Linked DNA regions of Callithrix jacchus. The protein of the gene in region 2 interacts with the protein of the main gene of each other region in a pairwise test. Links are inferred from orthologs where the notes say so. Each region holds a gene or a part of one and is shown on either strand. Other genes may lie near its edges.

Evidence for each region.
Region 1: the proteins of ENKD1 (region 2) and PNMA2 interact in binary tests that used the Homo sapiens proteins (3 or more experiments, as listed by UniProt). The two-hybrid records come from large-scale screens. The link is inferred for Callithrix jacchus from reciprocal best matches to the Homo sapiens genes ENKD1 and PNMA2.

What each region holds. Positions count from the first base shown.
Region 1 is NC_133514.1:15,061,076-15,065,557, reverse strand, and holds the start of PNMA2 (paraneoplastic antigen Ma2), read right to left. Parts: upstream 2,852-4,482; 5' UTR 2,443-2,851; intron 1,986-2,442; exon of another isoform or gene 1,886-1,985; intron 1-1,885. Other genes in the region: DPYSL2 (dihydropyrimidinase-related protein 2), read left to right, coding at 3,318-3,671.
Region 2 is NC_133521.1:25,174,453-25,178,709, forward strand, and holds the start of ENKD1 (enkurin domain-containing protein 1), read right to left. Parts: upstream 2,895-4,257; 5' UTR 2,577-2,894; coding exon 2,492-2,576; intron 2,396-2,491; coding exon 2,201-2,395; intron 1,366-2,200; coding exon 1,193-1,365; intron 831-1,192; exon of another isoform or gene 600-830; coding exon of another isoform or gene 588-599; exon of another isoform or gene 217-587; coding exon 91-216; exon of another isoform or gene 1-90. Other genes in the region: C20H16orf86 (uncharacterized protein C16orf86 homolog), read left to right, coding at 3,099-3,200, 3,413-3,639, 4,003-4,223. UniProt on the Homo sapiens protein: Microtubule-binding protein which regulates microtubule organization and stability. Promotes the stability of astral microtubules and facilitates the proper orientation of the mitotic spindle.

The DNA.
Region 1 (4,482 bases), on a different chromosome or scaffold from region 2:
GAATCTTTAGGCAGGTGCTGAAGACACTAGGGTGCCAGAGAGCCAGGAGGGCAAAATGCTACTTCACCTCTGTGCCCAGGAGCCCCAGGGACCTGAGACTTCTGACTTCTCTATGCCTGACTTTTCCTTTCTAAAATACGGGGGCCGGTGAGGGGAAGGCCAGGTGCAGTGGTTCACATCTGTGAACACAGCACTTTGGAAGACCAAGGTGGGAGGATCACTTGAGCCTAGGAGTTTGAGACCAGCCTGGACAACATAGTAGGACCCTGCCTCTACAAAAAGAAAAAAATATAAAAAAATTAGCTGAGCTTGTGGTACTCGTGTGTAGTCCCAAGTACTTGGGAGGCTGAGGAGGGATGATTGCTTGAGTCCAGCAGGTCAAGGCTACAGTAAGCTGCGTTTGCACCACTGCATTCCAGCCTGGGTCACAGTGGAAGACTCTGCCTGAAAACTAAAACAAAAACAAAAACACAACAAAATATGGGGGCCGGTGGGGGGAGGGCCAGGTGCAGTGGCTCACATCTGTGAACACAACACTAAATATCCCCCACCGGGATATTTAGAGGAAACAGAATGTAAAAAGACACTGCCCAGAAAGAAGCATCTCTATGGTCTACAGAATGACCTCTACGCTGAAGTTAGGCTATCTTCCCATGCCTCTTCCTCCTAATGTGATCTGTAGTGTGACTTTCTAATAAAAACATGGCAAGAAATACCCTTGATATACAATAGGGCCACAGATGGAAATATGGTAGAAATAGAAGAACCTTGGGCCGGGCGCGGTGGCTCAAGCCTGTAATCCCACTTTGGGAGGCAGAGGCGGGTGGATCACGAGGTCCAGAGATTGAGACCATCCTGGTCAACATGGTGAAACCCCGTCTCTACTAAAAATACAAAAAATCAGCTGGGCATGGTAGCGCGTGCCTGTAATCCCAGCTACTCAGGAGGCTGAGGCAGGAAAATTGCCTGAACCCAGGAGGCGGAGGTTGCGGTGAGCCGAGATCGCGCCATTGCACTCCAGCCTAGGTAACAAGAGCGAAACTCCGTCTCAAAAAAAAAAAAAAAAAAAAGAAGAACCTTGTATTTTCTCACATAAAGGGGGTCACAGGACAAGCTGGAAAAGAAGCCAGACTTTGAAGTGGAAGACCCCACTGGAATTGTTGAATCATTTAAGTAGATACCCAACCTTGGACCAAGCTCTCTAAATCTGTTTCCCAACCTGGAAAGCAGTGCTGATAAGCATGAATCTTACAGGGGGCTGTGAGTGGGAAATGATGTAATTCAGTTGGAATCGCTTTTTTTTTTTTCAAATGCTTTATTCAAATGCAAAGCACATCTGGCCCGTCGGGTTCTCTCAGCCCCTCCACTCCTATATTCTTCTTCCTCAGTCTCCCTTTCTCATCTGGAGACGACTTTCTACCATCATGGTGGGCTGATCTTCAAACTGCAACTGGTGGTCCACTAGATGTAACTCTATTCACCAAACTATCCCTACAATTGAACGGTGGGAGTGGTTGGTAACCGCATTTACTCCTGGGCTGACAATGGGACAGGATTCCTGGTCACAAGGCCCTACGCAGTGGCCTTGCGGGAAACGGCCTCTCAGCCCAAACCCACCCAGGTTACTGAGCATGCCCAGACCTCCCTCCCGGGCCGCCAAAGGAGGGGCACCATTTCCGCAGGATCTTGCCACTGTGGAAAGAGAGGAGGGGCTGTCATCCGGCAGAGGCAAGGTCTGATACGCAGAAAGGACGTGGAGATGGGACTAAGCAATGAAGAACCCGCACTGACCGCGTTACGCAGCAAATCCAATTGCCCCCCCCCCCTTACCACCTCGGTGGCAGTAGCTCCACTACCTGCACACGCACACCAAGTTCCTACGTACCTTTCCTCCGCTTGGCTCCACACAATTCACGGTACTCACAACCTACCTCCTACTCTTCACCAGATGCGCATCCGCGCTCACTCCCAAACACGTGGCATCTGGTAACCTGGGAAACGCCGCGTCTGTGGCGCAGTGCGCAACAGGGGCGGGGGAGCCAGGCGGGGCGCTGGGGCGCCGGGAACAGCTGGAGATTTGGGGAGGGGGTTTCAATTTGTTTCTCCCCCCCCTTTTTATTATTATTTTTTGGGGGGGAAGCAGAAGAAACCAAATCGCGACACGTTCCTGCGTCCTTTTTGGCGCAGTGGTGCAGAAAGGGTCCATGGCGCCCTTGGGCAATAGAGCGGGTCTGCACCGCCTTTCTAAGACGTGGCACTGGGCTGGAATTCCGCACCGCACTCTTTGCTACACCCTTATAGACCTCAGACCTGCGTCTCTCTCTATACTCGTCTCCCATCTGCTACGCCACTCTGCATTTCTTCCCGCCATGTTGTGCCCCCCCCAACCACCACCCGCCACCTCAACCACACCAAAGTGGATGCACGAAGCGGGAATCTTACGGTTTTAGTCTCTCTGCTCCCTGCAGCCTGCCAAGGCGAGTGGGCAAACTGAAGCTTGGGTGTCCAGCGTCTCGGCTGCCCCCGTCCTGTGTCACCCCTTGTTCATCTTCAGTGCCACCCCCCTTCCCACACCTGGAGTAGGCTGGCGCCCGGCTGGTCCCCTTTTCCCATCCATCAGCTCACACCCAGGGTAACGGGGAGGGAGCCGTAGCCACAGTGCGCCCTCGACCCCGGCCGACCACAGCCTCACTACAGGTAGAGGTGCCTGGGCCGGGCAGGTGGGGGAGAGGGGCACAGGGGCCGGGGGCTGCGCCCTCCGGTCCTCACCCCGCGTGCCCTGCCCGATACTTACCCAGGCGCGGAGAGCAGTCAGCTAGCCCTCCGCTCCGCATCCATTAGCCGGTGGTCTGGCCGCTTCACTTCCGGAGCTCTGGGCTAGGGGCGGTGCCGCCCTCCCCTCTCTCTCTCTCCTTCCCTCCCCTCCTGCCCTCCCCTGCGCGCCGCTCCCCTCCCTGGCGCCGCGCCCCGCCTGCGCCCCGCCCGCGCCTCCCTCCTCCCCGCGCTGCCGGGAACTGGCAGCCTCTCCGTTCCCGCAGCCGCAGCGGCCGCCCTCCCAGATCCAACTTTGCCGCTCGCCCGAGCTCGCGCGGTGGCCGCGGGGGGCGTGGGCAGGGAGGGGAGAAGCGGGGTCAGGGGGAGGGACCGGGAGGGTGGGTCGCCGGCTCGCCAGCCCTCCTTCCTTTCTGTGCACCTTGCGGTGGGCAGCGAGCGGCAGCCGCTGCAGCAGCTAGGGGGCTTGTGCACACCGCGAGGGAGACTTAGGGACTGGCAGACGGACGGACGGACGGCGAGGACCCTCTCCGAGCCCCCGAGCCATGGCCGAGAAAAAGCAGTCTGGGAAGGCGGCAGAGGACGAAGAGGTCCCTGCCTTTTTTAAAAACCTGGGCTCAGGCAGCCCCAAGCCCCGGCAGAAATTCTGTGGCATGTTCTGCCCGGTGGAAGGGTCCTCGGAGAACAAGACCATCGACTTCGACTCGCTGTCGGTGGGCCGGGGCTCGGGGCAGGTGGTAGCTCAGCAGCGGGACGTCGCCCACTTGGGCCCGGACCCACAGCCGCCGTACTCGCGGCAGGGCCGGCGCGCCGGCGGGGAGCCATCTGTTGAATCGGGCCGGAAGGTGGAGATCCGGAGGGCCTCGGGCAAGGAAGCCCTGCAGAACATCTACGACCAGGTCGGTGTGGGGGTGGGGGGTGGAGACGCAGGACGGGGCGCGGGGATTGCCCCTCCCTCGCCCCTGAGCCCGGCGCGCCCGCCTTCATGCCCCGCCCTGGACCTCGCCTCCCGCATCTGCACGCGCACCCTCCGCCCCTTCTCCGCGCAGGGCGCGGCGAGGCTCGGGCTGGGCGGTGGGCGGCTGTGCGCCCACAAAGGCTGCCCGCGTCTCCTTGAGCTTGGGAGGTGGGGGGTGGGCAGAGGGGATGGGCCGATCCCGGGCTGGGGCGGGCGGTGGTCGCCTGGGAAGGGTTGGCTGCGGTTCCATTCTTCTGAAACCCTCCCGGGCGGCTTCCTATTGCAGCTGCGGCTGGGTGCCCCACCCTTTTTTGAGGCGGCTCGGAGCGTGGGGGGGAGGCTTTGCGTGAAGGCCCGCGGCTCCTGGGTGGTCGGGAGGGGCGAGGGTTCCGACGGCGGCTCTCTGCAGCCTCAGCCGTCGCCTCCTGAGCTCGAGTCCCGAGCTCCGAGGCCAGGACCATGGTCAGCGCCCCCCGGACCGCCCTTGACTCCTGCTGGCAGCCAGAGAAGAGCCAGGGAGGCCCTGGAGTCGCCCGCGGAAACCGAGACGCTCCTAAATAGCCTATGTGGGGAACAAAGTTCCAATAAGTGTCTCAGCCAGGGCTTCCCACAGCGCTCCCCAAGCCGCTATGTGGGAGGCGCTTTAGGAACTGGGGAACTGAGTAGGCTATGTTCAAAGGGTCAAAAAGACAAGGAAAAGGGGGAAAAACCCTCGCATTCGAAATAGACTATCGAAGAAGACTAGACCCCTC
Region 2 (4,257 bases):
GCAAGTGTGGGTGGGGGCAGAGAGCATTATGTGGTATCCCTGAACCCCTCGACACACAGTGGGAGCCCTGCCCAACCACCATCCACTCACCTTAGCTTCAGAACCTGGTGGGGTTGGCTGGGGACTGGAAACACGGGGTGGTGGGAGGCCAGGGCCACAGCGGGAGTGTGCCCGCAGGAAGTGGGCAGACTCTGTCCCAAAGGCAGGGCCAGGCTCCTGGAGGGCAGGGCACAGCAGAGAGAGCAAGCAGGCTGAGGTCTGGGGCTGAAACCTCAGGACTCTGGCTCTTTTGGCCCTTCTGACCTCTGCATCCATGTCCCTCGGGGCATCTTCCCTCCTCAAGGGACACTTGTCCTCATCAGCACATAAACGTGTGGATATCAGATTTTTAAGAAAACAGTAACCACCTCTCCTTCTACCTCAGTACTGGGCCAGCCACCACTCTCTCCCCTCCTTCCTAGCCAAGCTTCCGGCTCTAGTCCCCCAAAGTTCCTGATGGCTGGCCTCCAAGTCCTCAAATCCAGGCGGTCACTTCCTTGGTCTCGTTGTCCTCAACCTGACAGTAACTCCTAGGTCTTACTCCTCAGATCCAGTCCTGAATTTCCATCTGCTTCCTGGATACACTCCCACCCCCTGGGAGCGCCACAGATGCTTCAGCCCTGACACATTCGTGTGACCTTGCCTTTCCTCTCACTCTTACTCCTCCTGCTGAGTCCTTGGATGGAGGGATGGTGCTGCTCTCTACCCAAGACAGAGCACCCCCCACCATACTTCTGCCCTTCCCACTGTCCTCAGAAATAAAGGCTGAAAGTGGTTAATGTGGCCCTTGATGATGTGGGTCCGGCTGACTTCTTGGTCTAACCTCACGCCTTTGAACTGTACCTAGCATCTCCACTGCTATGTGTCCTGTACCTAGCATCTCCACTGCTATGTGTCCTGTGGTTGGGGAGGTTCCATCTTTTGGGAATGTTCTCTACTGCTGTCCCCTTGCATAACTGCTGCTTGCCCCTTAGGATCAGCTCCCCCCATCATGACTTTGAGAAGGCCCCCCTCAGTCCTGCCCTGCAGCAGAGTCAGGGTCTCTTAGTCCTCTGTTACCTCTGTGACTTTCCTCCCTCCCCAGATCAGAATATAGTTAGTTGCCTGTTGGCCAACAAAATGACTAATACATCCGGTGCCCTGAGGCAGGTACCTGCAGCTGGGCCTTGACGCGGGACTCCACCTTGTTGTACTTGGGCGAACGCCACAGAGCTTTCAGGGGCCTAGGCTGGCCCTGCTCCCGGCTGCGCTCCCGTTCTCTGAAGCGCTTCTGAATCTCCCTGATCCGCCTCAGGTTCTCCTTCTCATGGTCTTTAGGGTCCTTCCCTAGAGAACAGATGCTGCAAGGCTCTGCCCTACATATGGCCCACACAATCCAATTTCCACCAGTTCACACACAGGCCTGTCCTCCGCCCCTTACAGAAAGAGCCCCCGACCTCTCGTCTGCCTCATCATCGTGTTCCCTTCCTCACGTATTTAGTATCTCGTGATGATTTTTCTCATTAATTGAGACAGGGTCTCACTCTGTCACCCAGGCTGGAGTACAGTGGCATGATCACAGCTCACTGCAGTCTCAACCTCCTTGGCTCAAGTGATCCTCCCACTTCAGCCTGCTGAATAGCTGGGATTAGAGACATACTCCACCATACCGGGCTAATTTTTGTATTTTTTGCAGAGATGGGGTTTCACCATGTTGGCCAGGCTGGTCTCCAACTCCTGGGCTCAAGTGATCCGCCCGCCTCGGCCTCCCAAAGTGCTGGGATTACAGGCATGAGCCACTGCTCCCAGCTGTTTTTCTCCATTATTACAGTGAAGTATACTATTAATTATCTCATACATGACATTCATCTCCTGTTCTTTGTCTCCCACCTTGATTCGATGGATCATGCTTGTCTTCAACCCTGTGTTCTAGCACCTATATGGCCTGGCACACAAGTTTGACGGGTAATAAATGCATGAAGCAGAGCTAGGACTTTGTGGGAACTACCTCACTCAGTTCCCCTCCGAGAAGGTAGCACATTTCTCCCCCTTTTTATGGTTGGGGAAACTGAGACTCAAGAGAGCAAAGCCTGGGCCGAGGTCAGGGGGGAAAGGGCAGCTGCTTTGATGTCTTTCCACCCCAAACTGTCTCTCTGCCCCTTCTTCTCTTCCTGGGACTTACTCTTGAGAGAGGCCCCAGGACCTAGGGAGATGCCCTCAAGTTGCAACAGCACGTCGCCGACGCCACGCCGGCGGCGCTCCATGATCTCTCGGGCGCCGGGACCGATGCAGGGCCCACGGGGAGCGGTGGCGTCCAGGGCTCGGTCCGAGGTCAGCAAGTCCAGCTTCAGCGCGTTCCCCTCTAGTCGTCCTTGAGCTGCGTGTGGGGTGGAGCCGGGTGGAATGCGGGGCTCAGAGGTGGAGCCGAGGCCGACCCCCGAGCCTCTCGCCACCGCCGCGCCCCCGTACTCACCAGAGGCCGGCCGCCGGTAGTAGTCAGGGCAAAGCGTCGGGTCTGGGGGGATGGGCCCGGAGATACGGGACGGGCCCTCGCACATGCCGCCGGCGCCGCCCTTCAAAGGGGCTCCGAGTCCTGTCGAGCTCTATACCTCCCTCCCTGGGCCCCCTTCCCAGCTCCAGGCCTCCTCCCTAGTCCGGGACCCTGACCCTAACCTGGACCAAGGAGGGCCGCCCGTCCCAGGACCCTCCCAGTCCCCGCCCCGACCTCGGCCTCGTTTGTCGCCTCCACGACCTCTGCTCCCAGCCCACTTCCCGGTCCCGCTCGCGCCCCACCCCCCGCGGCACTCGGGCAGGGGATCACTCGAGCGGTTTTGCAGCCAGCTGTAGCCACTCGACGGGAGTTGTTGTTGCCGGGCAACCGTGGCTTCCGTCCCCGGGGTCAGGGCTCACTGACCCTGGCGCAAAGCCTCCTGGGGCTTGTAGTTTCGGCCGAGGGTGGCCGCCGGTCTCGCTTCCCAGTTTTGTGCTCGCTTGCTGGCCGGTCTCCGGGGTCCGCGCAGGGCCACCATCCAACCCCTCGGGTCCGCCCCAGGACGAGGATGCACTGAGCCTGCGGAGCCATGGCCTCGGCAGGGGCGGAGAGGCGGCCGGGGTTCCAGGAGGCGACGGTCGTGGGGCAGGCACTGCTCGCGGAGGACCCTGGCCGCGCTCAGACCTCTGAGGTGACCATCAGGCTGTTTAGCATTCAAACACGGAGCCGTAGAGCTCTGAGAGGTGGAACTCTGAGCGCCCCGACTCCCTAACTGGCTGGCTGGGCTCTCCAGGAGGGGAGAGGCACACAGGCTGTTTCGGTGTCTAATGTTAGGTGTTCAGTGACTGATCCCTATATCTTTTGCCCGGCCATGGTGACAGATGGTCTGTGTGTCACCTCTAGTGTCCAGTGACGGGAGACCAGTTCCTGGTGCCAGCCCATGAGGCCGGTGGGACCCATGGTGAAGACCAGCCCCCAGCAGGAGCCTCCTCAGAGCCGGAGCTCCAGGAGGAAGGACCCAAACTGGGGGAAGAGAGGCCCAAGCCGGAGGCTGGGGCACTAGAGGAGAGAGGCCCCAGGCCCGTGGTCTCTGTAAGGCCCCATCATGGTCCAAAGAGGAAGCCTGTCAAGTGAGGGGGCTCTCGGAGGGAAGGAGCTGCAGGCCCAGGGATGGGGCTCACACTCCAGTAGGATTCCTAAATCCTGCACTCCTGCAAGTGTGATTCTTGTGTCCACCAGTACTACCCTCACTCCCCTCTCTTTCTGTTCCTGAAGACCTTCCCCCTACTACCCCTGTGTAGGGAGCGGCAGGAGAGAGGGGGCTTCAGGGTTTGTAGGGGACTGGGCTCACCTGGCTCTAAGCCTCTCTTGGGCCTGGGGCCTCACTGACCATGAACCAGGCAGGCATTGAGCCCTGGGGTGGTGGGCAGGCTGGGCTATTCCCTGGGCCAGGGCTGGAGCCTGGCTCCTCAAGTTTCTTGTCCCTGGCTCAGGTCCCTCAGCCTCCCAGGCCACCATGCCCATCTGAGGGCTGAAGCTGAGCTGCCACCCAGGCTGCTGCTGCAGGAGGAGGAGCGAGAGGGTAGCCAGAGTGAGGTCTCATCATCTGCCAAACAGCACAAAAAAGCCAAGAAGCGCAAGAGCCTGGGGGCTCCTGTGCTCCACTCTGTGGCCAGCACGGCGTCTGCATCCTTAGAGATGTTGGGGCTGGAGCGTGAGTGGCAGTCCCTGAGCTGTTCCTTCTCCCC